Mus musculus: one gene and its partners. The protein of the gene in region 6 purifies or fractionates together with the protein of the main gene of each other region. This does not show direct contact. Links are inferred from orthologs where the notes say so. Each region holds a gene or a part of one and is shown on either strand. Other genes may lie near its edges. The genes, in order: Hspd1, Cul4a, Dnajb1, Bag5, Dcaf7, Ambra1 and Stub1.

Region 1 (3,500 bases), on a different chromosome or scaffold from region 6:
CTGAACTCTCATGTGGTGACACAGCGCTACAGTCCTGATGCTCACAGAACAGTAGAGATGCCTCAGTGATTTAAGTTGAAAGCAGGACACTGGTATATGGCTCTTGCACCCAGCATCAGGAATGTACAAATGTCTTTATTCAAAAATACAAAATAAATTATCTGTAGGCATGGACAATGACAGCAGTAAACCATTATATATCGTCAAAGGAAACCAGTAACTGATGATTACAGTGGTCAGCCAGCCTTCTCTTCAGTCATTTTCTCCAGGTGACTTCTCTGAAGTTATTGGTGAGGAACCTGCCTTGAGCTTCCTGTCACAGTTCATTGATAAGGGCAAAGCACTACTCTAGGAGTTAGAACATGCCGCCTCCCATACCCCCTCCCATGCCACCCATTGCACCCATTCCAGGGTCCTTCTCTTCTTTAGGAATTTCTGTCACTACAGCTTCGGCTGTAGTTAGCAAGGAGGCCACCCCAGCAGCATCCAGTAAGGCAGTTCTCACAACCTAGAAAAAATTTTAGTAAAATAATTTATGAATAAAAACCATGCAGAGAGCAAGACATCCAGTGTGTATGAAATGCTGAATCACTTACCTTTGTTGGATCAATGATCCCTTTTTCCACCATGTTCACAAAATCTCCAAGCATGGCGTCATAACCAACTTCTGAGGAACTCTGCAGAATTTTCTCAACTATCAAAGATCCTTCAACACCTGCATTCTTAGCAATCGTCATTGCAGGAATTTTAAGTGCTCTTTTAATAATTTCTATACCTATAAAACAAACACATTTTTACAAATTTGCTTTGTCTTCTCTTTCTGGGGAGCCAGAGGACTTAGTTTAATCCTTAGCACCAATGTAACTCCAGGTCCAGGCTACCTAATGCTCCCTTCTGGCCCAGAGAATACTGTAAATGCATAGCACACAAGACATGAAGGCAAAATGCACCCCCCAACACACACAAAATAATTAAAAAGAAAACAAGAGTTTAGTAAATGAGAAGACTTATCCAATCCTACCATAGGTGAAATAATTCCCCCTGTAAAATGTGTTACATTGCTAATCAACAATACTTTTCAATAAGAATGAGGCCACAAACTCATTTGAAAGATGATCTTTACCTATTTTCTGGTCTTCATTAGCAGGCTTTAATGAATCCAAGGCTGGGATGCACCGAAGCAGAGCGCAGCCCCCTCCTAGAACAATGCCTTCTTCAACAGCTGCTCTTGTAGCATTGAGAGCATCAGTAACTCTGTCTTTTTTCTCATTCACTTCAACATCACTTGTTCCTCCAACCTAGAGATTAAGAAATTCCAGTTAGCATGACCTTTCCCATTCAATGACCACCTAAAGCCACCTAGAATGCAGACATAAGCTGGGTACAGCATCATGTAAGTCATGACCCCTGCAGTTGAGAGGCTAAAGCAGGTGGGTTACACCAACTGAGGCCAGCTAGGGCTACAGCAGAGTTCAAAACAAAAGCAACAACAAAAGAAGCAACTCTAGAATAACATATATATTATAATGTGTCCCACTGACAAAATCCTGAACCTCCCCACACAAGCTGTACTGCTGTGTGAGAAAAGGATACTAGCCAAACAGCAGTGCACATGCCTTAAATCCCAGCACTTGGGAGGCAAAGGCAGATGGATTTTCAGTTCAAGGATAGCCTGGTCTACTAATTGAGTTCTAGGACTGAAAATCCTGTCTATAGAGTGAACAGAATGAGTTCCAGGACAGTCAGGGTTACACAGAGAAAAAGGAAAGAGAAAAGAGCGAGACTGGGAAATTGGGTAGGGGTAGACTGCACAACACAGCACAAGAACGGTTTCATACTCATGCATAATACCAGTAGGGGATAGATGCCTATTTATGGCTCAGAAGGCATTGGGATATAACCCAAATGGGCCAAAGGTCTTGCTTGCCCTGCAAGCCAATGGCCTGAGTATTCCTGGAATCACAGTGGAAAGGTAGATGACCAACTGCTGGTAGTTGCCCCCGATTGCTACATGTACTCTATGGAAAGTTTGGTCATATGCACACTCAAAAAACAAAACAAACTAAAAATTCTGGGAAAGGAGATATTCATTTAGTTACTATTGGTAAATACCACAGAACCAGTATCACGATACTCAGCCTAAAATGTTTACCGGCAAGTCAGTCTTACCTTCAACACAGCTACTCCATCTGAAAGTTTAGCAAGTCGCTCGTTCAGCTTTTCTTTTTCATATTCACTAGTTGTGATGTCTAGCTGCTCAGTGATTTCTTGAATACGTTTTTCAATGTGAGCTTTGTCACCTTTTCCTTTCAAAAGCATGGCATCATCTTTGGTGACAATGACCTCCCCAACTTTTCCTAAGTCATGAGCTTGAACATCTTCAAGATTTAGATTCAACCCCTCTTCTCCAAACACCTATAAAAGCAGTGTGCTATTAGTGGCTTCCATTATACCAGGCTTATTACTATATGTCACAGATATTTTGTAAGAAGAAACAGCTTTTCAGGGCTAGCAAGATGTCTCAGCAGTCAAGAGCACTGGAAGGCTATTCTGCTCTTCCAGGTGTCCTGAGTTCAAGTTGCAACATGGCAGCTTGCAACTGTCTATAAACTGCAGTCCTATGGGACTGGATGGACGCCTTCTGGTATGCATACACCATACAAACAGGCAGACAAAACATCCATATACATAAAGCTTAAAATATCCAGAAAAAGAAATGCTGTTTTTCTTTGAGATGTCAAGACCACTGGTATACCAGAACAAAATCACTTAAAGTTTTGAGAAGAATGTTTAACTATGTCCATTCTCACGCCAGGCTCAGCAAGTTAGAAACATGACCTTAATCCAATACCTGTGTACCAAGCAAAAAAATAGCAAGCCAGGCGTGGTGGCGCACGCCTTTAATCCCAGCACTCGGGAGGCAGAGGCAGGTGGATTTCTGAGTTCTTGGCCAGCCTGGTCTACAAAGTGAGTTCCAGGACAGCCAGGGCTATACAGAGAAACCCTGTCTCCAAAAACCCAAATAAATAAATAAATAAATTACTTAGCAACAGTCCTATCTATTTATGAAGTATACATTGTATTTGCAGCCTGGAAGCATAGACATCACTAAGCAAAGCAGTATGACAAGATTTACTTACTGCACCACCAGTAGCAATAGCCATATCTTTAAGCTGGTTCTTCCTATTGTCCCCAAATCCTGGAGCTTTGACTGCCACAACCTGAAGACCAACTTTTAGCCTGTAAAGAACATTTAACTGTGTAAGATGTAAACTGAAGGGGGAGTTGGGAGAAAGCATCTAATTTAGTTCCTGGTAAGTTCTAGTACTATATACAACTATTAGTACTATATAACTCTATCCCAATCCTACTCTTTTCCCACAACTCCTGGTCTGAAAAAAGACAAGATGGGGACCTCTACTCATCAAATCTTGTTCCAAGCAGATCCCCTTCTTAAACAAATGCTGCCCTTATATTGCAGACACAGTTGTGAGTCAGTA
Region 2 (4,174 bases), on a different chromosome or scaffold from region 6:
TTACCGGGGAGGGAAACAGTCTACATTTTCACTGAGCGGCTGGCAAACAACTCTATCTTAGGCCATTAAAATCTACTGGGACAAGTATGTTAGAGTTAACCTATAGCCCCGGCACATGAGCGGCAGCCGGGACTAATACCCAGTGAGACCTTTTTTTTTCCCCATAGTTATAAGGTACACTGTCCCAGTCTTCACACATACCAGAAGGAGGCATCAGATCCCATGACAGATGGTTGTGAGTCACCATGTAGTTGCTGGGAATTGAACTCAGGACCTCTGTAAGAGCATTCTTAACTGCTGAGCCATCTCTCCAGCCCCACAGTGAATCTCGTAAAAAATAAAACCAACCGACTCTCTCTTCTCATAAAAAAATAAAATAAACAAAATAAACCTACTGGAGCACATGTCACATGCCCCCAACACTGTATTCATATGCACACCTACACATAGGCACATACTTAAAATAATAAAAATAAAAGCAAATCTTTAGGCGGGTGTAGTAGTGCATAATGTTAATTCCAGCACCAAGAGACAGAGGCAGGAAGATCTCTGTAAGTCAGACTGTTCACAGTGAGTTCTAGAATAGCCAAGGCTACACAGTGAGCCCTGTCTAAACAAAACAAAAACAAAACCTTAAATAAAATCCTCTCCTTCAATACACAATCAACTCACAAACTTAAGACAAAGAACAGACACATATACACCAATCCGTCACCATCGGCCAGTGGTCCCTTACCCAGAATGCTTGGGGCTACTAGTGTTGTGGATTTCAGATGTTTTTCTTCCGGATTAATACTTGCACATACACAATGATGTATCTGGGTACTGAGAATCAAGTGTAAACAGACACAAAGCTGACTCGTACCCCATATCCCTTGTTTTATCATTGTGTGTGTACACCAAGTGTATGTGTGGGTGCTTGTGTCACGTCAAGAGGCTGGAGGTCTGGGGATGCGTCTCCAGTCAGTTTTCTCCTTCCACCTTTTTGAGGGTTCTGAGGTTCGAACACAAGTTGTCAAGCTGGCTCTGCCAGCGCTTTACCTACTGGGTCATCTGGCTGGCCCTAGCTCGATGGTCATTTTATTCAACAGTTTTAGCATATACTGTGTTCTGTCTGAGGCCCAGCAGAGGAAGTCAGGTGTGGGTCTTTTTTTCATGAGTGCACTACAAGTTTTGGATTTGGGAGTTTGGGGTTGGGAGTGATGGGCCTGCCACAGGTTCCTTCGGGTACCACTGCTTACTTTTCTTCTTGTGCTTTCTGTAACTTACAATACACTCAGTTTGTAACCAGGATAAAACAAGCCTCTTAGGTAACTTTTAAGTAACATATAAGTAATTATTTGTTCTATCACAAACTAAAACACAGAATATTTAGCAGTTATTGTATAAAACCATGACAGAAAAGTGTGCTTGAAACAGCAAAATGTACTTCGGATGATTTTCCCCCCCTGTTGCAGACACAACTTGTCTTTAAGTTAAAACTACCAGAATCGCCGGGCGTGGTGGCGCACACCTTTAATCCCAGCACTCGGGAGGCAGAGGCAGGTGGAGTTCTGAGTTCAAGGCCAGCCTGGTCTACAGAGTGAGTTCCAGGACAGCCAGAGCAACACAGAGAAACCCTGTCTCAAAAAAAAACAAAACAAAACAAAACAAAAACCCTACCAGAATCTGTCTGCAACCTTATTTGCAATAATTAAACTACAAAACAGTGTGTGTGTGTTGGGGAGGGGGTGTGTGTGTCACAACCCAGGGACCCTACTAGCAAGTGGGGCCGTACTGAGTTCCATGTATAACACACTGGCACTCTGATAACACTGAAGACTGCTGGGGGCTCTGTGCCTCTTAGCTCCAAACACCTCCTTTCTTCTGGCGCTGGGAAAACGTACACCTCCTAAGCAGCCTGGTCTAAGCCTCAACACACAGCACTAATCCAGGGCGGCGATCCATAGAAACACCTGCTGACCCAGGGTTTCGCGGCTTCCGCTAGGGAAGGCTCGGGCCGCAGCTTCTCCCCGGGCGGGCGGGCGGACGGGCGGGCCTCCCTAGCGTTGGCCCCGGTGGCTGCTGGAGGAGGAACCCAGCCAGGTGCTCGCAGGCCCTCGCCGCCGCTCACCTGGTACAGCTCCTCCAGGTTGTACCTGATGGATGTGCTGCTCTGGATGGCCTTGACCGCTTCGTGAAGCTTCCGCCACGTGTCCTGAGTGTAGTTGTCAGGCAGCCGCGGCCTGTCTGTGGGGGAGAGAGGGTCAACGGCCGCGCGGGGACAGCACAGGCCGGGGCACCGAGGCAGGGCCCGGCCGGGCTAGCCAGGAGGTGCGGGATCGGGGCCAGCTGGGGCGCGGGGACGTGGCGGAGCGTGAGGTGCAGGGACAAGTCGGGTTGCGGCGCCGAGACGGGACAGTGCGGGAACCAGGCGGGCCGGGGCGCGGGGACAGGGCCTGCCGGGCAGCCCCAGGAGGCCCTGTCCGAGCGCGCGACCCGCCGGCCGCCCCGTTCGCTCCTCACCGGAGCGCACCCACCTCGGAAGTTCTTGATGACCAGCTTCCTGGAGCCTCCCGTGCCCCCCGGCTTGGCGGGGCCACCGGCCAACGCCGCGGGCTTGGTGAGGCCGTTGGTGCGGCCCATGAGAGCCGAGACGCTGCCCTTCCGAGGGCCCTCGTCCGCCATGGCTGGGCCGGACGCCGCCCCGCCCCGCGCCGCCCGGCTCCTCCTCCTGCCCTGCGCCCGCTCCGTGCGCGCCCGGCTCCTCCTCCTGCTGCTGTCGGGCTCCGCCCGTGAGCGCTCGGCTCCTCCTCTTTCTGCTCGCGGCCGGGTCCGCGCGCCCGAGGCCCAACCGCCGCGGCGCGCACCGGAACGATCCGGCTCCTCCTCCTATGCGCGAACTCCGCCCAAGGAGGGCTCGGGGACTCGCAGGCGTTCTACAACGAATGCTCGCGAGAGGGCGCCGTGACACCTGCACCGAGGGCTCCGGAGCTCGCCGCCCCACGTCACGTCGAGGGCCGTGACGAGGACACCCCGGCGAGGACTTGAGTGGATAAAAGCACCCGGCAACCTTGCCTCCTGGATCACCTTACACCTAGGATGCTCAGGGATGCTGCTCCGTGCGCTAGCGCGCCGAGGGGTTGGGGACGGGATGCTCTGCACCCATTTATCTGGGGTGCCCCAGTGTGAGATGTGGGAGGACTCAGGAACACATCCTAGGAGTGCGCGGGACGCCTTCCCAGTGGGCTCTGGACTTTGGTTCCGGGAGAGTCAGGAGCGCCTCTGCACACGGAGGGTTGGGGATCGGGTCACCCTCATGGGAGAGGGGTGCGAGGAATCGGGTCGCTAGCACACCGACGTGACCAGGGACACGTTCCCAAGTCGGTTGGGAACTCCTCCACGTCAGTCCTCCGCCCTCGCGCGCGCCCCCGCCGCACCCGAGGCGTCCCGGCGACCGCGCTGACAGCTGCCCCCAAAGAAGTGCTCTCACCACCGGCTCGGCTCGGCTCGGCTCGGCTCGCTCCACCTTCACCCGCTCCGGAACCAACGTGCAGAGGTTACCGTGTGGGGACAAGGAGCGGAAACGGACCTGCGCCGGAAGTGAGGCACTCAACACCCGCGGCCGCCGCTATGGCGCACATCACCATTAACCAGTACCTACAGCAGGTGGGTTTCGCTTGGTATCCTGGCCTACGGGCCACGAGGGGTGAGTCCTGGGGCCGGGTCGGACGGTGCCGGGGGTCCTGCGGCTGGCCTCGAGGCGAGGAGGGTGTGCTGCACGCGGTGGGCAGCCTGCCTTGTTCGGAAGTTGCAGGTGCTGCCCGGTGGACCAGGAGGAGGAGGATCCGAGGTGGAGGTAGCAAGATCGGGGCCACTTGTAGAAACGGTTGTCTGTGTAGTCAGCGCTGCTGTCCGCACGAAGCACGTTGTGTCTCTTGGCAGCGGTGCCCATCAAGGCTTTACTTAAAGCCTGGGAGTGGCACAGGCAAACACTGTTGCATCCGGGTGGAGGGCCGTGATTGCGTCTTCTAGGGTGTTGAAGATGTGAATCCCACTAGGCAACACACCTGGTGCAAGGGGCAGCCAGATAGGGAAGACTGATGAACGTTTTAACTGACTACACTTGCTGCTCATGGCTGCTTATGAACCTTGGATTTGCGCTTAGCTCTATTACCAAAGCCCCCTTTTCCTG
Region 3 (4,125 bases), on a different chromosome or scaffold from region 6:
GTGCGCGACTTTGAAAGATTGTAATATATTCTGTGGAAAACATTCGGCAGAGCAAAAGCCCTCCCTGGGCCCTCCCGCAGTATGCAACCAGTGGAACGGTCTGGAGATCTGCAGCTCTGAAAGCCCCTGGCTCAGTCCTTGAGGAGTGCAGGTGGCTATATGGGAAGAACCTGCTCCAGGATGGTTCTGGATGAGACGGGAATCCTTTCCGGGAAGATCACTTCAAACTCGATAACAAGGTCTCCACGTTTCTCAGGTGTTTTGGGGAGAGGGAGGCCTTCTCCAGGGACTTTCCGCCGCATACCAGGCCTGATGACATCTTTGAATACAACAGGGATGGTCCTGCCGTCCAGAGTAGGGACATTCACAGTGCAACCACAGAGAGCCTAGGGAAGCAAAAGGACAGTGTCAGGCAGTGGCTGGCTTAGGAGCTTCACTCCTCCAGACCGTCCGGAGAAGGGTCAGGTCTACCAGACCAGGCCCGCTGACACCCCACTCCAAAGCCCCCCCAACCCCACAACCCATTATTCTCACAGCAGCCATCTCTTTTTATGACTCCTCCACCCACCTAGCACCTTACCTCCCGAAGGCTAATCCTGGCTGGATAGATGACATCAGAACCATCTCTCTTGAAGATATTGTGTGGCTTGTCCTTTAAAACAAAGACGATGTCTGCTGGAATGTTGTTCGAGGTCTGGTCCCCTTCCTTGGGAAAGGTGATTTTGGTCCCTTCTTTCCAGCCCCTCTTCACTTCGATGGTCAGGATCTTATCTTCATTTCGAATGCTCTTTCCATCAGGGTTCAGCCGCTTGTGGGAGATTTTCATCTTCTTGGTACAGCCGCTGTAGATCTCTTCAAGGGAGACCCGAAGGTCATGGGTGACTGGAGGATCTTGCTTCTTCCGGGTGGGCTCTTGAGAAGGGCGGGAACGTCCAAAGTTCATGTTGGTGAAGCCACCCATACCCATTGGAAAGCTAGAGAATGTGTCATCAATGTCCATGCCTTCTTCCCCGTTGCGCTGCCCAAAAAAGGTATCAAAGGGGTTTCTGCCACCGAAGAACTCAGCAAACATGGCATGGGGGTCTCCGTGGAATGTGTAGCTGAAAGAGGTACCATTAGCACCACCACTGCTTCCTCCACTGGGGCTACCACCCTTCAGGCCTGGAAACCAAAACCACAAGTCAGGGTTACTGCTGGAGAGTCAGCCCCACCTCCCTCCACCCCCAACACTTCAACACACTTATAAAACATAAAACCCCTGAAACAAAGAGCTCAGAACCCCAGCACTCTCAAGACAAGTGCAGACTGATCTCTGCAAGTTCCAGACAAGCCAGAGCTCCACCATGAGGTGCTGGAGAAATGGCTCAGAGCACTGGCTCATCTGGCAGAAGAACCAAGTTCAATTTCCAACACCTACATAGCAGCAGACCATGGTCTAACTCTAGTTCCGGGACCTTTAATGCCCTCTTCTCTAGAAGCATGTGAATGGTATACACATATACACGGAGGCACACGCTCAAATAAATTGAAAAACAAAGTTCCAGCAACAGTGAGGTCCTGTCTCAAATAAATGGTCACATTTTGTTCCTTTTGCATGTATTACTGTCAATGCCACGTAACACACAAACTTTCGTCCAGAGTAGCCTCAAGGCAATCCTCCTGACTCAAATACCCCAGAGGGGGGATTGTCACAACATCCGGTTCCTTTGGAAACAGGAGCTTATTACCCTGTAGCTCTGATTTGAAGCAAATTCACAGCGTTCCTAATTCGGTTTCCCATGTGGAGGTGTGAGCCCCCGCACTCTGCTCAACAAGTTTTGCTCTTAGTAAAAAGGCCACAGGAACTATAGCGGGAGGGATTTTATGTATATATTAAAAAGCTTGTTAGTCAAGGACGAATCTCAAGTCTTTTAACTCCCAATGGCAATAGGAGCAAGAAACACACTACTCCGTTTTACTTCCTGACAACATATTCGGTAGTAAGGCCTCTAGATCTCGGTGCGACCAGGTTTACGTGACTGCTCCATCCTCCCAGCTATGCTGTTACCATCTTACAGAGAAGCTCCTACGCACTGTTACCAAAAAGGCTCAACCCTGGGTGAGCGAACACTGAGCTTGCGGCTAGGAAAGAGAATCAATACTCGGGCAATTTTCATTCCCATCGCGACCGCCGCCCTCCATCTGCACCATTCCGGCGCTGTGCAGGCGACCGACCGGGAGGGGCTGCGGCAGACGTGCTAGAAGCTTCTGTGCCAGCGGCGCGCCCAGAGCTCCTCCTCCTGTCTGAGGCCGCGGATCAGAGGGTGAAGGAGGCGGCGCCGCCGCTAGATCCCCGGAATGCCTGTCCCCGGCCGAGGTCTTGGAGAGGCTCCGAGTGCCTCGGTTTCCCCGCCTGTCAAACGGCGGGTCACCCCGGCCGCGCGCACACGTACCTTCCTCTCCATAGCGGTCGAAAATCTCGCGCTTGCGCGGGTCGCTGAGCACGTCGTAGGCCTCGGCGATCTCCTTGAACTTCTCCTCAGCGCCGGGCTCCTTGTTCTTGTCCGGGTGGTAGCGCAGCGCCTGGCGGCGGTAGGCTCGCTTGATCTCGTCGTCGGACGCGCCGCGGGCCAGGCCCAGCGTCTGATAGTAGTCCTTGCCCATGGCCACCGCCGCCCAGCTGTCGCCGCCTCCGGCTCCGCTGCTGCCCCGTCCCGGACTCTATATACCCGTCCGGCGGAAGCTTCCAGATCCCGCCAGCCCTCCAGAACCTTCCGCCCCTCCCGATGCGCCGCACGACACCGGCCAATCGCTGCGGCCCGCTCCGTGACGCAGCACATCCGGGGTGGGACCCGGCTGCCAACGGCTTTCCGCGCGGGGCCACGCCCCTTCCCTCTCTACTCTGGTCAACGCCTTCCTCGGGCGCGCGCGCCGGCTGCTGGGGTTCCGCCTCCGTAGCGGATCCAGCCAATCGCAACCCTCTCTCTCTCTGCGGACAGGTGGAGGCGCGAAGAGGGGCGGGGCTACAGAGACGGGCCTCTCCGAAAGGCCGCACCCTTTCCCCCAGGTTATCGCCGGCTGGGAGGTTCTGCTGCGTGACTTGTGGTAGCTACCTGACAAGTACCTCTAAGCTTTCCTGCTCTAACCCAGGGATAAAAATAGGCACCCCGCCCTCTTCTGCCCGTAGCCCTTGGTTTTTCCCGTAAGGCCGTTACTGTAAAGCGAGGTGAGACTGGTCTGCCTTGGGCTTGCTGCAGTCGGGCTGCCTCTCCGGTTTATCTTACTTCCTACTAATTCCTACTGGGTTTAGCTCGCCTCTTGGCGTTCTGATACTTGTCACTTCCTTTGCCGTCTGAGTTTACCACCAGGGCTGCGTGATTTTTTTAAAGATCCACTGGGTGCTTCGTAAATATTTCCAAATACTTTGATATAGTATAGCTTTTTGCTTTTGGTTTTGTAAGTCTGGGATGATGGCGGTCAAGGACGGAGCTGAGTGAGGAAGAGGAGAGAGCTTCAGATATTGGAAGGCATAGAGAAGCTGGAATAGTCATTGGTGGTTCTTGCAGGGAATGGGACTGCCTGAAAGTGCATGAAAGACTGACTCTCATCCTAGCACTTTCTGGCTGTGTGACCTTGGGTTGGTAGAGTAGCTTTTCTGGTCTCAGTGTGGTCATCTGTACAAAGGGAATGGTCGTGGAATATGGTGAAGTTGACATTATTCTGCATTTGTTAAAGACAAGGGACAAAGGGTGTTCTTGAAAGAGATGATTAATCATCTTGTTTAGTGGACAACTGTTGACATTCCCTTTCTGGAAGCTCTGTAGGAGGAGAGTCAGATAACCCTTGCCCTAGGCACCCCTGAGAAAAATGACTTTAGCCTTCCGTTAATGGTATAGCTGTGTGTGGTGTATGTGTTTTGATTTTCCTAACTGTACTGACCCCATGAAAACCGAACCAGTTGAGCCCTGCCCCCCGCCTCCCCATGGATTTGGAGCTAGGGAACACTTGTAGAGAAAGTGTCTTTAAAGGTACAGAGACAGAGATAGTGAGCTGGCAGTGGTGGTGCATGCCTTTAATCCCAGCACTTGGGAGGCAGAGACAGGCGGATTTCTGAGTTCGAGGCCAGCCTGGTCTACAAAGTGAGTT
Region 4 (3,953 bases), on a different chromosome or scaffold from region 6:
CCTCCTTCCCTCTCTTCATTATTGCTTAAACCAAGCTCTCTAGTCTCTATCACTAGCTTAGTGGTCATTGAAGTGTTAGTAGCCACTGATTAATGTTTTACCTCCAGCCTTAGCGTTTTCATATGACTGATAGACTCTAAACCTAGGCCTTTTTTTTTTTTTCCCGAGACAGGGTTTCTCTGTGTAGCCCTGTCCTGGAACTCACTCTGTAGACCAGGCTAGCCTCAAACTCAGAAATCTGCCTGCCTCTGCCTCCCGAGTGCTGGGATTAAGGCGTGGGCCACCACGCCTGGCAACCTAGGCCTTCCTTAAGCAAAGCATTCTGTTGCAAAGAAGTGCAACTGAGGGCTGGTGAGATGGCTCAGTGGGTAAGGGCACCTGACTGCTCTTTGGAAGGTCCAGAGTTCAAATCCCAGCAACCACATGGTAGTTCACAGCCATCCGTAACGAGATGTGAACTCCCTTTTCTGGAGTGTCTGAAGGCAGCTACAGTGTACTTACATATAATAAATAAATAAATCTTAAAAAAAAAAAAAAAAGAAGTGCAACTGACTAAAAAAAAAAAGCTTTATTTAGTTTTATATATGTGAGTGCATTGTTACTGTCTTCGGTGTTCCTAACAGCTGAACCATCTCTCCAGCCCAGCAATTGTTTTTTTGAAAAAGGCTTCACGCCCATTCTTGCTGCAGACCTGCACTGTGGATCTCTGACATCGCGTGCACGTTTACAAACAATGCGAAGTCTACAGAAGTGGGATGATGAAGTCAGCCACGGCTTTAAGTCGAACACTAATCTTAACGATGCGAAAATGAGAAAGAACACCCTTCAAGAGCTGTGTTAATACAAATGGGAATTAACTCGGGGATAAGCAAGGCTCGCGCTCTCCACAGCGGATCCCGGGCAGTGATCATCAGTCCGTCGGAGAGGTGCAGGCGGCGTGGGTTTGCTCGGCGGCCTTCCTCCCTGCCAGCGCCCCCGGCGTCCCGCTTACCCGGCTGGACGCCGCATCCCTGTGATCCGTAGGGCGCTCACGGGCCAACCTAACGCCGCCGCCGCCGGAGAAGGACCGGCAGAGAAGCCGGCGAAGCGCTCTGCTTCCGGGCCGCAAAGCCGCCATGGCCCGCGCGTACGGCAGGATCGCGACAGTGGAAAGGTTGGCGTTACGGCGGCGTCGCAAAGCCCGAGCCGACGCGCGGCGAGGCCGACCGTGCGCATTCCCTGGGACGGACGCCGGGCGGCGGGGCCCGCGCGGGACGAGGAGAGGACAAGTTTTCCCCGGGCTCACTGCTGACGGGCCCGCTCTGCGAGGACGGCGACAACGCTGCGGAAGTGTAGGTGGCGGGGCGCGATGGCGCGTGCGGCCCAGGTGAGCGTGGGGCGAGGGCGCGAGCTCCGTTCTCCCGGCCTCGGGCGCTCCGCCGCCCTCGCTGCGCAGGCCCGCGCCCGCCGCGCGCCCATTGTGAGGTCAGGCGGCGGCGCGTCCGGCCGGGCCGAGACCCGGGAGCGGCCGCCGCGGCCAGTAGCTGCCGCCGCCTCCGCCGGCCCCTTCACCGGCTGCCCGGGTCAGACCTAGCCGGGAAGGGCGAGGGGGGATGCCGCTGGGGGCACCGCTGCGGTGCCGCTCCCCGTGAAGGGCCGATCTCCCACCTCGCAGCCCCCCGCGGCAGCCAAGACCGCCGCCGCCCAGACCTCCCGGGGTAAAAGCTCTGCGAGGGCCGGGCTTGGACCCTCCCGGGGACTGAGTTCTGTGGCCTGCCCGCCAGAAGTGAGCTGTTTGACAGAAACCTGAGAGCGTGGGAAATGCTCTAAGCGCACATACCGGGAGGCGAGTGACCGAGTTAATCGCAGTCGGCAGGTTTGGGCGGCGGGTATTTGAAGTCAGGGTGAGGATTTGGAAGTTTCGTAGCTCCTCTTTCAGAAAAGTAGAAAGTTAGCTAGCTGTCTGGACGAATGGTGCTCCTGTGAGTGTGGAAGAGCTACTGTTAACTTCCAAACTGGTTCCAGAGAGTAGATTAGGATGGGGGGGGGGGGGATCTAAGGAAATTGTGTTGCTAACCTGGTGGGTTGACTAGAATGGCAGTGTACGCAGCTCGCTCTCATGGTTTAAGACAGAATTCATAGGCCTAGACATCCACCCAGGCTGGATCATGAGGACCTTCTGTCTGTCGTTCAAATCCCTACCGTGTTCCCCTATTTCCGTTTTGCTTTGAATTCTTAGGGTCACCAAGTAGCCCATGGTGATCTTGAATTCGTAGTTCCCTTTCCTCTGTATCCCCGACGCTAGGATTGTAGGGATACACCAGCACACCGGTGAGCTTGCTTTGTTTTGTTCCTGTCCAGCTGTTTTCAGGAGAGGGAGTTGACATGTCACATCTTCCCTTTCCTCAAGCAACCTTTTACACCTTTGACGAAACCTTTTGTGTATTTTGGTGCATGCCCAGGTGCCAGAGTTTGGCCTCCCTGCCCGCCCACCATCATTTCCTTGGTGTCCTTTGACTTTGGCTTTTGAAGTGGGGCTTCCCATGGTCCTGAAGGTCCTCGGTTAGGCTAACCTGGGCTGGCCAGTGAATCACGAGATCCATCTATCGCCGTCTCCCCGGCACTGGCTTGCCTGGCTTTTCTGTTTTACTTCATGGGCGTTGGCGCTTCGCCTGCATGGATGTCTGTGCATCACTGTGTGCCTGGTGCCTCTGAAGACAGAAAGGGAATCAGATGCCCTGGGACTGGGGTTACCTGTGTGGTCATGCACTGTCATGTGAGTGCTGGTAATCAAACCCAGGTCCTCTAGCCAGCACCTTTAACCACTGAGCCCTCTCTCCAGCTCCGCCCCAGCTTTTTTTTTTCCACATGTGTTCTGGAATTCCAGCTTGGACACTTGATGAAAAATTATCTCCACAGCCCGAATGAGCCCTTTTAACAAGTGTACTAAGAAGGAGTGTTTAGAGTGGGTTCTTGTCCTGCAGAGACTAATACGTTATCATTCTTGCTATCTTTCAGTGCTTGTGAAACTGAACACAGAAGTATGGATATGGGAAACCAACACCCCTCCATTAGTAGGCTTCAGGAGATCCAGCGGGAAGTAAAGGCTATAGAGCCGCAAGTGGTCGGCTTCAGCGGCCTGTCGGATGACAAGAACTACAAGAGGCTGGAGAGGATTCTGACCAAACAACTTTTTGAAATTGACTCTGTGGATACGGAAGGAAAAGGAGATATCCAGCAAGCTAGGAAGCGGGCGGCACAGGAGACAGAACGTCTCCTCAAGGAGTTGGAGCAGAATGCCAACCACCCACACCGCATCGAAATCCAGAATATCTTTAAGGAGGCTCAGGCCCTTGTGAAAGACAAGATTGTGCCCTTTTACAGCGGAGGCAACTGTGTGACTGACGAGTTTGAGGAAGGCATCCAGGACATCATTCTGAGGCTGACGCACGTGAAGACCGGAGGGAAGGTCTCCTTGCGGAAAGCCAGGTACCGCACGCTCACCAAGATCTGCGCGGTACAGGAGGTTATTGAGGACTGTATGAAGAAGCAGCCGTCCCTGCCACTGTCTGAGGATGTGCATCCTTCAGTGGCCAAAATCAACTCTGTCATGTGCGAGGTGAACAAGGCCAGAGGGACGCTGATCGCACTTCTGATGGGCGTGGACAGTTCCGAGACTTGCAGGCACTTATCCTGCGTGCTGTCAGGACTGATTGCTGACTTAGATGCTCTAGATGTGTGTGGGCGTACAGAGATCAGAAATTATCGGAGGGAGGTGGTGGAAGATATCAACAAATTACTGAAATACCTAGACTTAGAAGAGGAAGCTGACAGTACACATGCATTTGACCTGGGACAGAACCATTCCATTATAAAAATAGAAAATGTTCTCAAGAGGATGAGAGAGATAAAAAATGAACTTCTCCAGGCGCAGAGCCCTCCTGAGTTGTACCTGAGGGCCAAGACAGAGCTGC
Region 5 (4,294 bases), on a different chromosome or scaffold from region 6:
TGCGGACAAGTACAGTTCTTCTGAGTTTGGCATCTGTAGCCAGAGGTACCCCTCTTATCCTCTCCCACGGTCCAGCATCCTACTGCTCTTCCTTACACACTAAGGGAGTGCTGGGGAAATTGACCCTGACACTGTCATCTTGCTGACAGCCAGTCCTTCCTCCAGTCTCCCCATGCTCTGCCATTCTGTGCCTCGTCTGTCCCCTACCTTCAGAGCCTTGTGCAGTCACTCTTCACAACTTCCTCCAACCTGGGAAACGAAACCCTAGAGAGGAGAGCTACGAAGCAGGATCTTTAACTACATATCTGAGGGTTTTGTTCACGCACTGAAAAAAAAAAAAGTCTCCCAGACTGGCCTTCAAATCGGAACCTGCTGAGATTTCAGGCACGTCACCATTCTTGGCCTACTTTTCCTCATTTTTATTTTTTGAAAGATTGGTTTTTAAATTGTTGTTTATGCATAGAAGGTGTCTGACCACCTTGTGGACATCTTTTAAATTCTCATTCTCTCTTCTTTATGCATGTATGTGTACTTCATGCATGCCTGTTGGCTCCCCTGGAACTGGAATTGGGACACCATGCGGGTGGTAGGAATTACCCCTGGTTCTCTCTAGACCCCACCTGATAATCATAACCACGTTCTCCCCAGCCTGTGTGGCTGTGCATGAGCTGCCTCTGCGCCTCAGTTCAGATGAGGTAGGGAGTCAGATAATTTAGTTAGAAAACTTTTTTATTCTTGTGCTGGGGATGGAACCCAGGGTCTCATGCATGGCTGATTTTGGTTATATCAGCAGCTATGGGAAAGTGATTAATGACTCCAAGTGTTGGTTGATTTGAATAACACAGACGTGTTTATCCCACACTCAAACACGTCCACTGTGGTGTTCCACATGAACACTGTGTGTCCTAAAGTGGAATAAATTTTCTTTCTTCAAGGAGCTTATGATAACAAACAAAGGAGATATGGCACTTTTATTTTAGAAAAACAAAACCCACAAGGTAGTGGGACACAGTGGCATATGTTGGTGATCCCTGCATTTGGGAGGTGGAGGCAGGTGGGCCACATGAGACTGTCTCAAAAAATAATAACCTCATAAGACACTATGCACACCAGGACCCTGAAGCCCAGCTCCAGTTTTACTGCCACTGTGGGGGTAAAAAAAGCCACTAGAGAGGAGACAAGAAATAGGGCTCTTCACTAGGAAAGGGCGGCTCGGTACACACTCCCTGGGACTGTAAACTGCTGGTGTATGTGTGACGTCTAGACAATCAAAGGCCATCCTTTTCACCCTTTTCTCAAAGAAGATGCCAAAAAATGGTGACCCTTTCCCAGAGAAACACATGTGCTCCCGAAATACCATAAACAAACCTAAAATGCTCAAATGTTTTCACCTGACCCTTCACATATAAAACAGAAGCCCTCTCCTAGATCACTGTGGGTCAAAAATAATAAAATCTGGTTTGTTCAATGCCTTATAGCTAAATCCTAGACCACCTACTTCTTCCACTGCTCCCACCATCTTGTCATTTGTCTCCAGTCTGATGTTCATAAGAGTAAGGCAGAGTACTGGCTATAAATACCACTGGCCAAAGCTTTCAGTATCTCTGATTACTGTCATTCATTTTTTTTTTTTTAACTCAAATTACAACAAAAGAATGAAGGTAAGAGATTAGGGAAAGAAAATTCTTCTCAATACTTTCAAACCTATACCCTGCATATAAAAATTCTCTCCTTCTGCCAGTGTTTTGATGAAGTGATGATGTCCAGCAATGCTGCAAATGAATGTGTAAAGAACCACGAAAAGAACAGGTCAAACGTCATCTTTCTCTATTCAGAAATAATGGCGGGATAATGCCACAGACTAAGGTTTCCAAGGATAGGCTGTTTGGGGGAGGGTGAACATCAAGGAGCAAAACCAATGACCAATGACAACCTAGCATTAGGGCTCTGTATCCATGAGAAACACCTGAGATGGGGAAGATCTTGCAATAAATAGCCCTAACAGAAATCTCGCGTGGCCAGGAATGCACGACCACCAATCCAAGCGCCGCATCTTCCTCCACTGCCTCTCTCCCGCCCCCCACCTAGCAACAGAAGCACTGCGACAGGAGTGGGGGAAATGAGAGGGACGGAGGACATAGCTTTGGGGGTGTGACTCCGATCTGAAACCTGCTACTACCATCGAAAATCTTATCTGCCTCAGGCATGTCACAACACCGTGCCTCGGTTTCCCCCGGCTGTCAAAACTAAATAAGAGGCAACGAGTGTGACAACCTCAGCGACAGGACCACAGAGGACCCACCCCCTTGTTGTGGTCAAGGCGAGTTTGCAGGAGAGTTGTGGGGACCGGGGCTGCCGCCCACCTCGAGCGTTCCCCGCCGGCTACACGCTGAGCCCCGGCACAACTCACCTTGTTGTTGTACTCTTCCACGAAGCTGCCCAGCGCCAGGCGAAAGCGCTTGTCCGGCCGCACGCTCCAGTTCATGGCGTACACAGTCCAGGGCGCTTCATATTTGTAGATCTCCTTCCGTTTGCCGTGCAGGGACATGGTGGCGGCTGGGCCGCAGAGCCGGCCAGAGAGGCAGCGGGCTGGGGCACAAGACAGGCGGGGACCCGGGCTTGGGTCCGCGGGTCCGAGGGGAGGCGGGGCCGGGGCGGTCAAGAACGGCCTAGCCCTCCAGCGGGTCCTCGGCTACACACACTCACACTCGGCCGGGCCCGACCACCAGTTTCAAACCAGCTCGGGCAGCGCTACCACCTTCCGTTTGGGATGCCGGCCCGCCCTCTCGGAACGGAAGCCACGCGACCCCGCAGCGGCGACGAGCGTTGGCTGCCGGGTACGTCCTTTCCAAACTGTTCCTTCTTTTCATTGGTCGACACAGTTGTAGCGCCCGCGCCCTCCTTACTATTGGTGAAAATGTTTGTCATTCTGCTCATTAGCCCCGCCCAGCTCCTGGAGGCGGGCTCTTTTGAAGTCCCAAAGATCATTGGCTACCCAAGATGTCAGTCAAGGGGATAACGGCGCAGTGCGGGTGAATGGGGGCGTGGGTGGCATGGGGGCAAGTGTGCCCCTCTACTGATCCAAATTCTAGGCCAAGAGTAAAGCCTGCTATTTCTCCTCTGCTGCTGCTGTTCTGATCACCTCTCTCCACTGACAGTAACTGTCAAACCTACCTTCATGGAGGACCACCTGCGTTTATTACATCTCCCTATGTCCGGCGGTCCCTCAGTCTTTGCCAAACGGGAACTCTCTCCAGCTCCAATGCCCACCTTTTAACTGTTCTCTTTCAGGCATGATAGAAACGTCCAGGGACAGGCTAGATTGATTAAGGCTTTCCTGCGCTTTCCTACAGACACTAAAGAGACTCCTGAATTCTGGGATCGATTTGCAAATGACCTGGCTATTAGTCACTTACCTTCTTCCTCTGGGATGTTCAGAAGCCAAATGGTAATCCAACTTTAAATGCTTATATGCCATGAGTTTGAAATGCAGAAAAACCTGGATCTAGGTACACCAATATAAATGTAAATTCTTTCAACGATATTGAAAGGGGTTGTATTGAATTGTTAGGCAGTACTTTAAAACACGTTAATTTTACGTGTATTTGTATGTGCCCGAGTATAAGTAAGTGTACTACATGTGAACAGTTGCCCACGGAGGTCAGAAGAGGCATTCAATCCCCTGGAACTGGAGTTAGTTACAGATGGGAATCCAACCCAGGTCTGCTGCAAGAGCATCCAGTGCCCATAGGGCTATCCTACCTCTCCAGTCTGTAAAATACAATTTTTAATGGATACAAACACTTGGAAGCCTTGAGGGACAATAGTATACACTTATCAACCATCTTTTAGTAATGGCCACCTGTATGAACAAGTCTACTGGGCACTTTTATTTTTACATAGAGCCTAGGCATGGTGTTACACACCTCTAATCCAGCTCTTGGGAGGTAGAGTCAGGAGAACCAGAAAGTCACTCTTATCCTGGGCTACAGAGCCAATTAGAGGCAGCCTGGGCTAGTTGAGAATCTGTTTCAAAATAATAAAAGTTAAAAGAAAATTAACTGGATACCTAGGTGTGTATTTTATTGAAACGTTTTATTTCTGTGCATATCAGGAAATTTGGTCCATAGTTTTCTATTGGTTACATCATTTCTGATTTTTCAGTGGGTTAATAATGGTCTTGTAGTACAATCTTAGCGGAGGTCTATCTATCTATTTTACGGAACAGGTCTTTTTTGTTTTGTTTTGTTTTTTCGAGACAGGGTTTCTCTGTATAGCCCTGGCTGTCCTGGAA
Region 6 (4,281 bases):
TCTTTCTTTTTTTTTTTCTGAGAGGGTTTCTCAGCCTCGAACTCAGAAATCCGCCTGCCTCTGCCTCCCAAGTGCAGGAATTAAAGGTGTGAACCACCAACACCAGGCAGCTTATATCTCTTAATTATCCACAAGAACCATCTTATGAAAATACAGAATAACTCAGTCATAATGTGAACATTTCTGAAATCCCAGGAAACAGCCCAAATTGACTTCAGTAATTGTCAAGCAGTGGTTCACACTGGTAATCCAGTAACTGAGGTGGAGGCAGGAGGATCAAAGAGCTCAGGCCGTCCTCAGCTGCACAGTCAATGAAGCTAGCCTGGAATATAAGGGATCCTGCCTCAAAAACAGCAACACACAAACAAAAAAAAGCATACAAAAATGAATCAAGTAGCCAGGCAGTGGTGGCTTACACCTTTAATCCCAGCACTTGGGAGGCAGAGGCAGGTGGATTTCTGAGTTCGAGGCCAGCCTGGTCTACAGAGTGAGTTCCAGGACAGCCAGGGCTACTCAGAGAAACCCTGTCTAAAAAAAAACAAAAACCAAACAAAAAAAAAAAAACAAAATGGCTCAGATTACTATCAAGCCAGATGACCTGAATTCACTTGGGAACCGTGTGCCAGAGAGAAATGACTCCTGGAAATTGTCCTCTGACATCCATATGCATGCATGGCATGCCCATGTGCAGACAGACACACAGACACACAATCAATCATTCCATCAATCACCTTCATTTAAGTATTACTGATCTCAGGGGTAGGGATGTAGCTCTGTGGAAGAGCACGTGCGTGTGACCTTGGGTTCAAAATTCCCAGCACTTCTAAAGGCGAGAAATAATAATAAACCTCACTGACCTTACACATACATTAAAGGAAAAATTAGAGAAACAATGTAAAATTCTATCATCTTTCTAAAGTTCCTGAAGCATCTTTTTTCTTTTTTTCTTTTTTTTTTCGAGACAGGGTTTCTCTGTATATCCCTGGCTGTCCTGGAACTCACTTTGTAGACCAGGCTGGCCTTGAACTCAGAAATCCGCCTGCCTCTGCCTCCCAAGTGCTGGGATTACAGGCGTGCGCCACCACGCCCGGCCTGAAGCATCTTAAAACTGTGCAGAAACTGATTTTCACAATCTATACACCCTTAAAATCAACTCTCCTATGACTTCTATATAGTGTGGAAACTTACCCAACATCAAACAACCTCCAAGACTTTTTTTTAGGATCAAGACATTTGATTAAATGAAATTAACAAAAACACTTAGACCTTAAGGCCTTGAAAAAGAAAAGAGAGGGCTGGCGAGATGGGTCAGCGGGTAAGAGCACTGACTGCTCTTACAAAGGTCCTGAGTTCAAATCCCAGCAACCACATGGTGGCTCACAACCACCAGTAATGAGATCTGACACCCTCTTCTGGTGTGCCTGAAGACAGCTACAGTATACTTACATATAATAAATAAATCTTTAAAAAAAAAAGAGAGAAACAGTAAAGTTCACAAATGATTCATCTTCAATTATGTTTGAATAATTTCTACACAGACTTTTGAACTCTTGAATAAAATGACTAAATCACTAACCAAATAAAAAAAAGTTTCAAAAGAGATTCCTTGGATTCCCTCCTAGAAAAGACCTCCACAAGACAAGAACCTGAATTCAAAGTCTTAACCATCTTAAGCATCTTCCATCTTGCACTAAGTACTTAACACCATAGCAGAAAGTTTCAGAACAAGCTGAAGAGTGGAATCAGTATTAATCAGAAGTAAAGTGGAAGTAAACAAATTATTTATGAGTAAACAAAACTAAACTATCCTTACTACTTTTGCTAAAACGATACAAACTTCGAAAAAGCAAACCCAGTCAAAAACATCACTTGCTCCCTTAATGTCTGAAGCCTCCAGTAACACAATATATGTTTCTAAGAAAGAAGAGTTCCAAAAAGTCAAATGAGAGACTGTTAAGTAAAAAGTGACCAGTAAAATGGGAGAATTGTGAACTGTTAAAGACAAAAAAAAAAAAAAAAAAAAAAAAAAAAGAACCTTACAGCACATTTAATGATCTGTCGAGGTCACAGGGAAAAGTCACGTCCCCTACCTCAGCCTCGGTTTCCCTACCCCAAAAGACTATAAGTGATATTTCGTTCCTAGGAGCTGGAGGGCCTAGTTTCAATAGCCTCCACCTACTCAAAAGGGCACTCCGAGGCTGAACTCAGTAGGGGTCCCCAGTGCAACTGAGCATGACATCCGGAACCGGAGTTGTAGGAAAGGAGAAAGGGAATAGGGTCTAAGAAAGCCAAGTTCCTACAATCTAGGGGTGACGACACGCGTCCAGGACCCGACATCCCCTCTCTACGGAACCCGGCCGGCAGCTTCAGCATCTCTCCCTCCTTCCGGCTTCTCGCTCAGTTCCGGGCCGCCCTCCGGCCGCGCCCCCGGGCGCAACCCCCTTCACAACGCGCACCCCGGCGGGCCGCGCGCTCGCCCACCGGCCGGCGCTAAGGTCTCCTCCTGCCTTGGGCGGAAGGATGCGGGACCGGGCCTCCCAGGCTCCTCCCGGGCCTACCTGCGAGGAGAGTGAGAGCTCGGCCCGAAAGCCAGCGAGCGCACGGAGCCACGGACGGAAGGCGGGGAGAGGCCGAAGAAAGCGAGGGGTCCGCTCGACCGACCAGCGGAAGAAAGCGGCCAGAGCCCGGGGCCTCCGGGATAACTCAGTCCAGGACCTGGCACAGCCGCCGCCGCTCCGGAGACATCAACCAAGAAGACGCCGCAAAAGATCATCGAACACACGAACGCCCAGACATCAAAGGAAGAGCGCCCCAGCAATCGTTCAAGGCACTGCAGCCGAGTGCCGAAACATTGCTCAGCTCCTGCTGCAAATCCGGCTGCCTTCCTAGGCATAAATAAACAAATCCAGATCATTAAACTATAGCGTAGAGTAGGCTGGGATTCTGCCATTTTCTGTTGGTGACAGAGTGTTAAAGTAATTTAGAGAACTAAATTTTTGAGACAGGAGCACGCTTGTAATCCCTGCTTTTTTTTTTTTTTCCTGGTACTTTTTTTTTTTATTACGTATTTTCCTCAATTACATTTCCAATGCTATCCCAAAAGTCCCCCACACCCTCCCCCCGTAGTCCCTGCATTTTAGGAAAGGAGGCATGAGGATTTGGAGTTCAAAGTCATAGTCAGTTAAGCACAAGGCCAAACTGGACTATATGAGACCTTGGTGGTTTTTTTTTTTTGTTGTTTTTTTGTTTTTTTTTTTTTTTTTTTTTTTTTTTTTGGTTGGTTGGTTGGTTTGGCTAGGTTTTGGTTTTTGTTTTGTTTTTTGAGTGTGTGGTTTTCGAGACAGGGTTTCCCAAGTGCTGGGATTAAAGGCATGCGCCACCAAAGACCTTGTTTTAAGTGAAAAAGGAATTAGCCTTTTGTGAGCACATTGATTGAAGATAAATCATAGCAGAATAAAGCTCGTCTTAATAGTTCAACGACTGCCGTACACTTAGAGACTTCTCACACTACTTGTCCCAGTTGAACAAATGACTTTACCACTTTATTCTTGGTTTCCCCTCAGAGCTGAAGAACAATCGCTATGAATGCTCCAGGTCAGCTTTAGAAGAATATCCAAGAGAAAATGGCACACCTTAATGTGGGAAGGGAAAGTTCCTGTACCTTGTTTTTAAATTTTTATTCTTTGGTTTTGTTTTGCCAGACAAGGCTTCTCTCTGTGTACCCTTGGCTGTCCTGGAACTGGTTCTGTAGACCAGGCTGACCTCCAACTCACAAAGATTTGCCTGCCTCTGCCTCCGGAGTGCTGGGATTAAAGGTGAACACCACAACCTCCCAGCCTATTCTATTCTTTCTCAAAAAAAAAACCACTTACTTCTCTTTTATTTTCTTCCAAGGATCTAAAGCCACAGTCCACAGTGTGCTTTTAGTTAGCTTCGTAGCTAGTTCACTAAATAGTTTTTAGAGACAGGATTTTGTGTGGCACACACACTGGTCTTGAACTCTGTGTATCCAAGAATGGCTTTGAAATTCTGATGTGCTTGCCTTCCTGTTCCACATTTGCAGTGTGCCTGAGGGAGTGTGAGAGACTGCAGTGGAGGCTCACACTCTATAGCTTGGCTGGCTTGGAACTCACTATGAAGCCCACGCTGACCTCAAGCTCACAGCAATCCTTTTGCCTCAAGCTAGTTGAGTGCTGGGATTATAAGCAACCATGCCTGGCTTTTTTTTTTTTTTAAACAGAATCTCACTATGTAATCCATATTACTTCAAAGTCTATCTTC
Region 7 (4,064 bases), on a different chromosome or scaffold from region 6:
TCCAAACGCAAGCCCACAACAGAGCTAGGTTCACTTGGCCTGGGTCCTGTAATTCTTGGCAGGTCCTTGTGGGAGGCCCAGTCAGGGTGAAGGTCAGGCAGCAGGTCTGGGCATACATCTGCCCCCCAAGTTTGCACAAGACGAAGAGTCTACAACTCTAAGACACTCACTAGTGAGGTCCACAAGGGTTCTGGGGTCAAGTTACTAACCACCAGAACCATGATGGGGCCCTGGATGACCTCTCAGGCCCCGCTCAGCCCCGCTCAGAAAGGCAGTGAACTCTTGCACCTGGGCTAGAAACAGCAAGTAGTGCTTGAGTGTGTACTGGAGGGTTAGCAAGCTAGGAACTGTAGCCACCGCCTCTTCGTATATGAAAGCTGCAACCCCAGAAACCTCTGCCTCCAGGACCACTGCAAAGAGTGACAAGGAGGTTCTGGGGATAGCTTTTTTTGAGCTCCTAGAGCCCCCACCCAACTTGGGCAAAGATGCTACCTACTCACTCGAGGCAGTGGCAGAAACCACGCAGCGAAGTTTGACTGCGGCGCCCAGATCAGCAGAAAGCCGAGTTCTGCTTCTCCAAGTCCGGGGTTGGGGGTGTTAGCGGCCAACAGCTGATGCAGCAGCGGCTAGAAATGCCTCAACGACAGACCATGGGGTCAAAGGGTCTTGGTGCAGGCGCTCTCCAAGGAAACCAGCCGGCTCCGCCCTTGAAGAAGCTCCTCCCCATGACCGCGAGAAGGGCAAGAGTCCAGCCGTGCACCCGCAGCTACTTCTATAGCAACCGCAGAAGGTCCTTCGGTGTCAGCGTGTCACGTGCTTGTTTCTCAGCCATTAATGGCCGCAGGCAGCTCCTCCCGATTCCCGAGGAAGCCCCTCGAGAGCGGTCTGATCTGCGGGCCTCTCTTCTACCCTCAATTCCGCCTTCCTACCGGCGGTCCAGACGTTCCCAGGCTGTCGCGTGAGCCCGTGTGTGCCCTGGTGGTGCGCTAGGACCCGGGCCTAGTGACCGGCCCTCGGAAGGCCACTTCTCAATGACCGCTGCCACGTTCGCCCAGCTTGGGGCCGGAGGGCGGGGCTTGAGCGCCGATGGGCGGAGCCTTGGTCTGAGCAGGGTAGGTCTCGGTTACTGTAGGGCGGGGCCTGTAGAGCGCGGCGGAAGCTTCTCAGAGCTAAGGGAACTGGCTCAATCCACGAGGCTCCGCCTTTGCTCACGTGTCCCCATGCCAGCTCCGCCCCACACCGGAAGTTCCGGTGGCGGATCGCCGACCGGGCGGAGCTGATCGCTGCGCGGGCTGCGAGATCTAGGTGGCCGGGCGCGGAGCCCAAGCCGTGCCGCGCGGCGCCATGAAGGGCAAGGAGGAAAAGGAGGGCGGCGCGCGGCTGGGCACTGGTGGCGGCGGCAGCCCTGATAAGAGCCCGAGTGCGCAAGAGCTCAAGGAGCAGGGAAACCGGCTCTTCGTGGGCCGCAAGTACCCGGAGGCGGCGGCCTGCTACGGCCGCGCCATCGTGAGTGCGGGAGGGGCGGGGGCGGGGCCCGATGTGCCTCCCAGTTTTGTGATCCCGGACAGGGTTTCTGGCAGCCTGGACTCGATGGCTCGCTCGCTCCCCTGGTGCCCGGATTGCTGTTCCCGAGTCTAGGGCTGATTTGACTGGGAACTGGCGGGCGGGATGCTTGATTAAGTAAGACTAAGGATGACACCAGGAGCTCTTGCCCCTTGAGATTTCCAAGCCCAGAGCTTGTAGAGGGGTTGTGGGATTTCTCTCAAAAGCAGTTGGAGGCAAGAAAGCATGGCCAGAATCCAGAGCTCTTGATAATTCGGAAATCTCCAGTTCCTCTATTCCAGCCATGGGCCCCCAAAGCTGGAGCATTGACCAGATCATTGGCTTTCAGCTTGCTAAATGAGAGGGGATCAACTGAGCCCACACTCTTTGACGCCTGGTCTTGGTCCCCAGACTCGGAACCCACTTGTGGCAGTGTACTACACTAACCGGGCCCTGTGCTATCTGAAGATGCAGCAGCCTGAACAGGCACTTGCTGACTGCCGGCGAGCCCTGGAGCTGGACGGGCAGTCTGTGAAGGCGCACTTCTTCCTGGGGCAGTGCCAGCTGGAGATGGAGAGTTATGATGAGGCCATTGCCAATCTGCAGCGAGGTGGGCTGACAAGATGCAAGGTTGAGGGCACCTTGGGGGACCAGGATTGTTGACAAGTGTAACCAAAAGTGTCCACTCCCCTAGCCTATAGTTTGGCCAAGGAGCAGCGACTCAACTTTGGGGATGATATTCCTAGTGCCCTTCGCATTGCTAAGAAGAAGCGCTGGAACAGTATCGAGGAACGGCGCATCCACCAGGAGAGTGAGCTGCATTCATATCTCACCAGGCTCATTGCTGCTGAGCGAGAGAGGTGGGTCCCTCCCCCAGCAGACACTGAGTCACCAGCACAAGTGTTTTTATTGAAGGACAACAACCGGTACATGGGAAGCCCAGGAGGAAAGAGGCCTGAGATGGGGCGGGCTCTGTGATTTCCTGGTCAGGGCCATCACCAACTAGCTTCTGGTTAACCCTCAGGGAACTGGAGGAGTGTCAGCGGAACCACGAGGGTCATGAAGATGATGGCCACATCCGGGCCCAGCAGGCCTGCATTGAGGCCAAGCACGTGAGGGTGCCCCTAGTCCACATGTGGGTCATTGTGTGTGTGTTTGTGTGTGGCATGAAAAGTGCCCCAGCCTTTGGTGGATCTGTTGGCCCATGCATGACATGAGTGCCCTGGTGGACAGAGTGTGTGTGTCTGTGTGGAGACAGGAGTTGCCCACACATGGCACTCAACTCTGCAGGATAAATACATGGCAGATATGGATGAGCTCTTCTCTCAGGTGGACGAGAAAAGAAAGGTGAGGACCCCCGGAAGCTCATCGGCTGCTGCTGGTATGGTGACCCCCACAGCCCCCTCCAGTTCTAGACATTTTCCCCTTGTGCTATAGAAGCGAGATATCCCTGACTACTTGTGTGGCAAGATTAGCTTTGAGCTGATGCGGGAACCCTGCATTACACCCAGTGGTATCACCTATGACCGCAAGGACATTGAGGAGCACCTGCAGGTAAGGAGGGCCCATGGAGACCGGGCCATGGAGAGCCTTGGTACCCGGATCGGTATACTCAGGCCATTGAACACTCTTGACTCTGTTGCAGCGTGTGGGCCACTTTGACCCTGTGACCCGGAGCCCTCTGACCCAGGAACAGCTCATCCCCAACTTGGCCATGAAGGAAGTCATTGACGCTTTCATCTCTGAGAACGGCTGGGTAGAGGACTATTGAGGCCCCATGTCCTGCCTGGCACCCTGGCCCAGGAGGATCTGGAGACGGAAGCTCCAGTCCCTGTATAGTTTGTGTCCCTGGGCCTGCCCCCATCGGCCCTGCTGATGGGTTCTGAACTGCTCCCCTTCTCAGCATACCCCTTGCTGGACCATGAGCCTCCCTTGTCCCCCTTCTGGGCTGGAGAGTGGGTGAGGGTGGGCTGAGGTTGCTGCTGCTGCCACTGTCCTGTAATAAAGTCTGTGAGCACTACATTGGCATGTGCTGGTGCAGTGGGCTTGCCAGTTGCCTGTCTGGCTAGCCAAGGAAGGTAGAAATGAAGACACTGGTGTCCAGATTGAGTGTGGCATGCCACCACCGATCAGGAAAATACAGTACCTGGGAGAAAAGAAAAAAAAAATTTTGATTCATGGCTTTTTGAGTTAGCCCAACCCCCACCTACCAGCTACTGACTTCACCAGCCTGGATGGTACATTCTAGAGGCCGTGCTGACAGGGCTAGAGATGGGTATATTTCCAGCAGCCAGGCCAATGTGGTCTTGTTAGGGTGGAACTCAGGTGTCTTCTCAGGAGGGTAGAGGAACCAGCGCTGGAGGCAGGAGTGTAAGGTCACTATGTGTGCAATGGACTATAGACACCAGATTTACACACACACATAACACACACATAACACTGTACTGACCTTCCGACCATAGATAACCTCTGAGAAACCAGGCCCATGCCAGTGGAAGGGTACCCCAGATCCAGCTCCTGTG

Evidence for each region.
Region 1: the proteins of Ambra1 (region 6) and Hspd1 purify together in Homo sapiens (affinity purification with mass spectrometry, with the first as the bait; 3 studies listed by BioGRID). This does not show direct contact. The link is inferred for Mus musculus from reciprocal best matches to the Homo sapiens genes AMBRA1 and HSPD1.
Region 2: the proteins of Ambra1 (region 6) and Cul4a purify together in Homo sapiens (affinity purification with mass spectrometry; 11 studies listed by BioGRID and IntAct, with this or other methods). This does not show direct contact. The link is inferred for Mus musculus from reciprocal best matches to the Homo sapiens genes AMBRA1 and CUL4A.
Region 3: the proteins of Ambra1 (region 6) and Dnajb1 purify together in Homo sapiens (affinity purification with mass spectrometry, with the first as the bait; 3 studies listed by BioGRID). This does not show direct contact. The link is inferred for Mus musculus from reciprocal best matches to the Homo sapiens genes AMBRA1 and DNAJB1.
Region 4: the proteins of Ambra1 (region 6) and Bag5 purify together in Homo sapiens (affinity purification with mass spectrometry, with the first as the bait; 3 studies listed by BioGRID). This does not show direct contact. The link is inferred for Mus musculus from reciprocal best matches to the Homo sapiens genes AMBRA1 and BAG5.
Region 5: the proteins of Ambra1 (region 6) and Dcaf7 purify together in Homo sapiens (affinity purification with mass spectrometry; 3 studies listed by BioGRID and IntAct, with this or other methods). This does not show direct contact. The link is inferred for Mus musculus from reciprocal best matches to the Homo sapiens genes AMBRA1 and DCAF7.
Region 7: the proteins of Ambra1 (region 6) and Stub1 purify together in Homo sapiens (affinity purification with mass spectrometry, with the first as the bait; 3 studies listed by BioGRID). This does not show direct contact. The link is inferred for Mus musculus from reciprocal best matches to the Homo sapiens genes AMBRA1 and STUB1.

The regions. Positions count from the first base shown.
Region 1 is NC_000067.6:55,077,933-55,081,432, forward strand, and holds part of Hspd1 (60 kDa heat shock protein, mitochondrial), read right to left. Parts: intron 3,241-3,500; coding exon 3,141-3,240; intron 2,416-3,140; coding exon 2,170-2,415; intron 1,299-2,169; coding exon 1,124-1,298; intron 776-1,123; coding exon 597-775; intron 509-596; coding exon 356-508; 3' UTR 1-355. UniProt on the Homo sapiens protein: Chaperonin implicated in mitochondrial protein import and macromolecular assembly. Together with Hsp10, facilitates the correct folding of imported proteins.
Region 2 is NC_000074.6:13,104,249-13,108,422, reverse strand, and holds the start of Cul4a (cullin-4A), read right to left. Parts: upstream 2,801-4,174; 5' UTR 2,668-2,800; coding exon 2,520-2,667; intron 2,230-2,519; coding exon 2,114-2,229; intron 1-2,113. Other genes in the region: Pcid2 (PCI domain-containing protein 2), read left to right, coding at 3,613-3,648. UniProt on the Homo sapiens protein: Core component of multiple cullin-RING-based E3 ubiquitin-protein ligase complexes which mediate the ubiquitination of target proteins. As a scaffold protein may contribute to catalysis through positioning of the substrate and the ubiquitin-conjugating enzyme.
Region 3 is NC_000074.6:83,606,850-83,610,974, reverse strand, and holds the start of Dnajb1 (dnaJ homolog subfamily B member 1), read right to left. Parts: upstream 2,801-4,125; 5' UTR 2,644-2,800; coding exon 2,433-2,643; intron 2,428-2,432; exon of another isoform or gene 2,215-2,427; intron 1,162-2,214; coding exon 581-1,161; intron 387-580; coding exon 156-386; 3' UTR 1-155. UniProt on the Homo sapiens protein: Interacts with HSP70 and can stimulate its ATPase activity. Stimulates the association between HSC70 and HIP. Negatively regulates heat shock-induced HSF1 transcriptional activity during the attenuation and recovery phase period of the heat shock response.
Region 4 is NC_000078.6:111,710,457-111,714,409, reverse strand, and holds the start of Bag5 (BAG family molecular chaperone regulator 5), read left to right. Parts: upstream 1-1,153; 5' UTR 1,154-1,366; exon of another isoform or gene 1,367-1,883; intron 1,884-2,997; 5' UTR 2,998-3,022; coding exon 3,023-3,953. Other genes in the region: Coa8 (cytochrome c oxidase assembly factor 8), read right to left, coding at 992-1,117. UniProt on the Homo sapiens protein: Co-chaperone for HSP/HSP70 proteins. It functions as a nucleotide-exchange factor promoting the release of ADP from HSP70, thereby activating HSP70-mediated protein refolding.
Region 5 is NC_000077.6:106,035,378-106,039,671, reverse strand, and holds the start of Dcaf7 (DDB1- and CUL4-associated factor 7), read right to left. Parts: upstream 2,801-4,294; 5' UTR 2,549-2,800; coding exon 2,411-2,548; intron 1-2,410. UniProt on the Homo sapiens protein: Involved in craniofacial development. Acts upstream of the EDN1 pathway and is required for formation of the upper jaw equivalent, the palatoquadrate. The activity required for EDN1 pathway function differs between the first and second arches.
Region 6 is NC_000068.7:91,728,657-91,732,937, reverse strand, and holds the start of Ambra1 (activating molecule in BECN1-regulated autophagy protein 1), read right to left. Parts: upstream 2,801-4,281; 5' UTR 2,559-2,800; intron 1-2,558. UniProt on the Homo sapiens protein: Substrate-recognition component of a DCX (DDB1-CUL4-X-box) E3 ubiquitin-protein ligase complex involved in cell cycle control and autophagy.
Region 7 is NC_000083.6:25,830,134-25,834,197, reverse strand, and holds Stub1 (STIP1 homology and U box-containing protein 1), read left to right. Parts: upstream 1-1,278; 5' UTR 1,279-1,344; coding exon 1,345-1,506; intron 1,507-1,953; coding exon 1,954-2,152; intron 2,153-2,236; coding exon 2,237-2,402; exon of another isoform or gene 2,403-2,566; coding exon 2,567-2,654; exon of another isoform or gene 2,655-2,832; coding exon 2,833-2,889; exon of another isoform or gene 2,890-2,979; coding exon 2,980-3,096; exon of another isoform or gene 3,097-3,187; coding exon 3,188-3,313; 3' UTR 3,314-3,564; downstream 3,565-4,064. Other genes in the region: Jmjd8 (jmjC domain-containing protein 8 precursor), read right to left, coding at 3,608-3,688, 3,764-3,898, 3,992-4,059. UniProt on the Homo sapiens protein: E3 ubiquitin-protein ligase which targets misfolded chaperone substrates towards proteasomal degradation.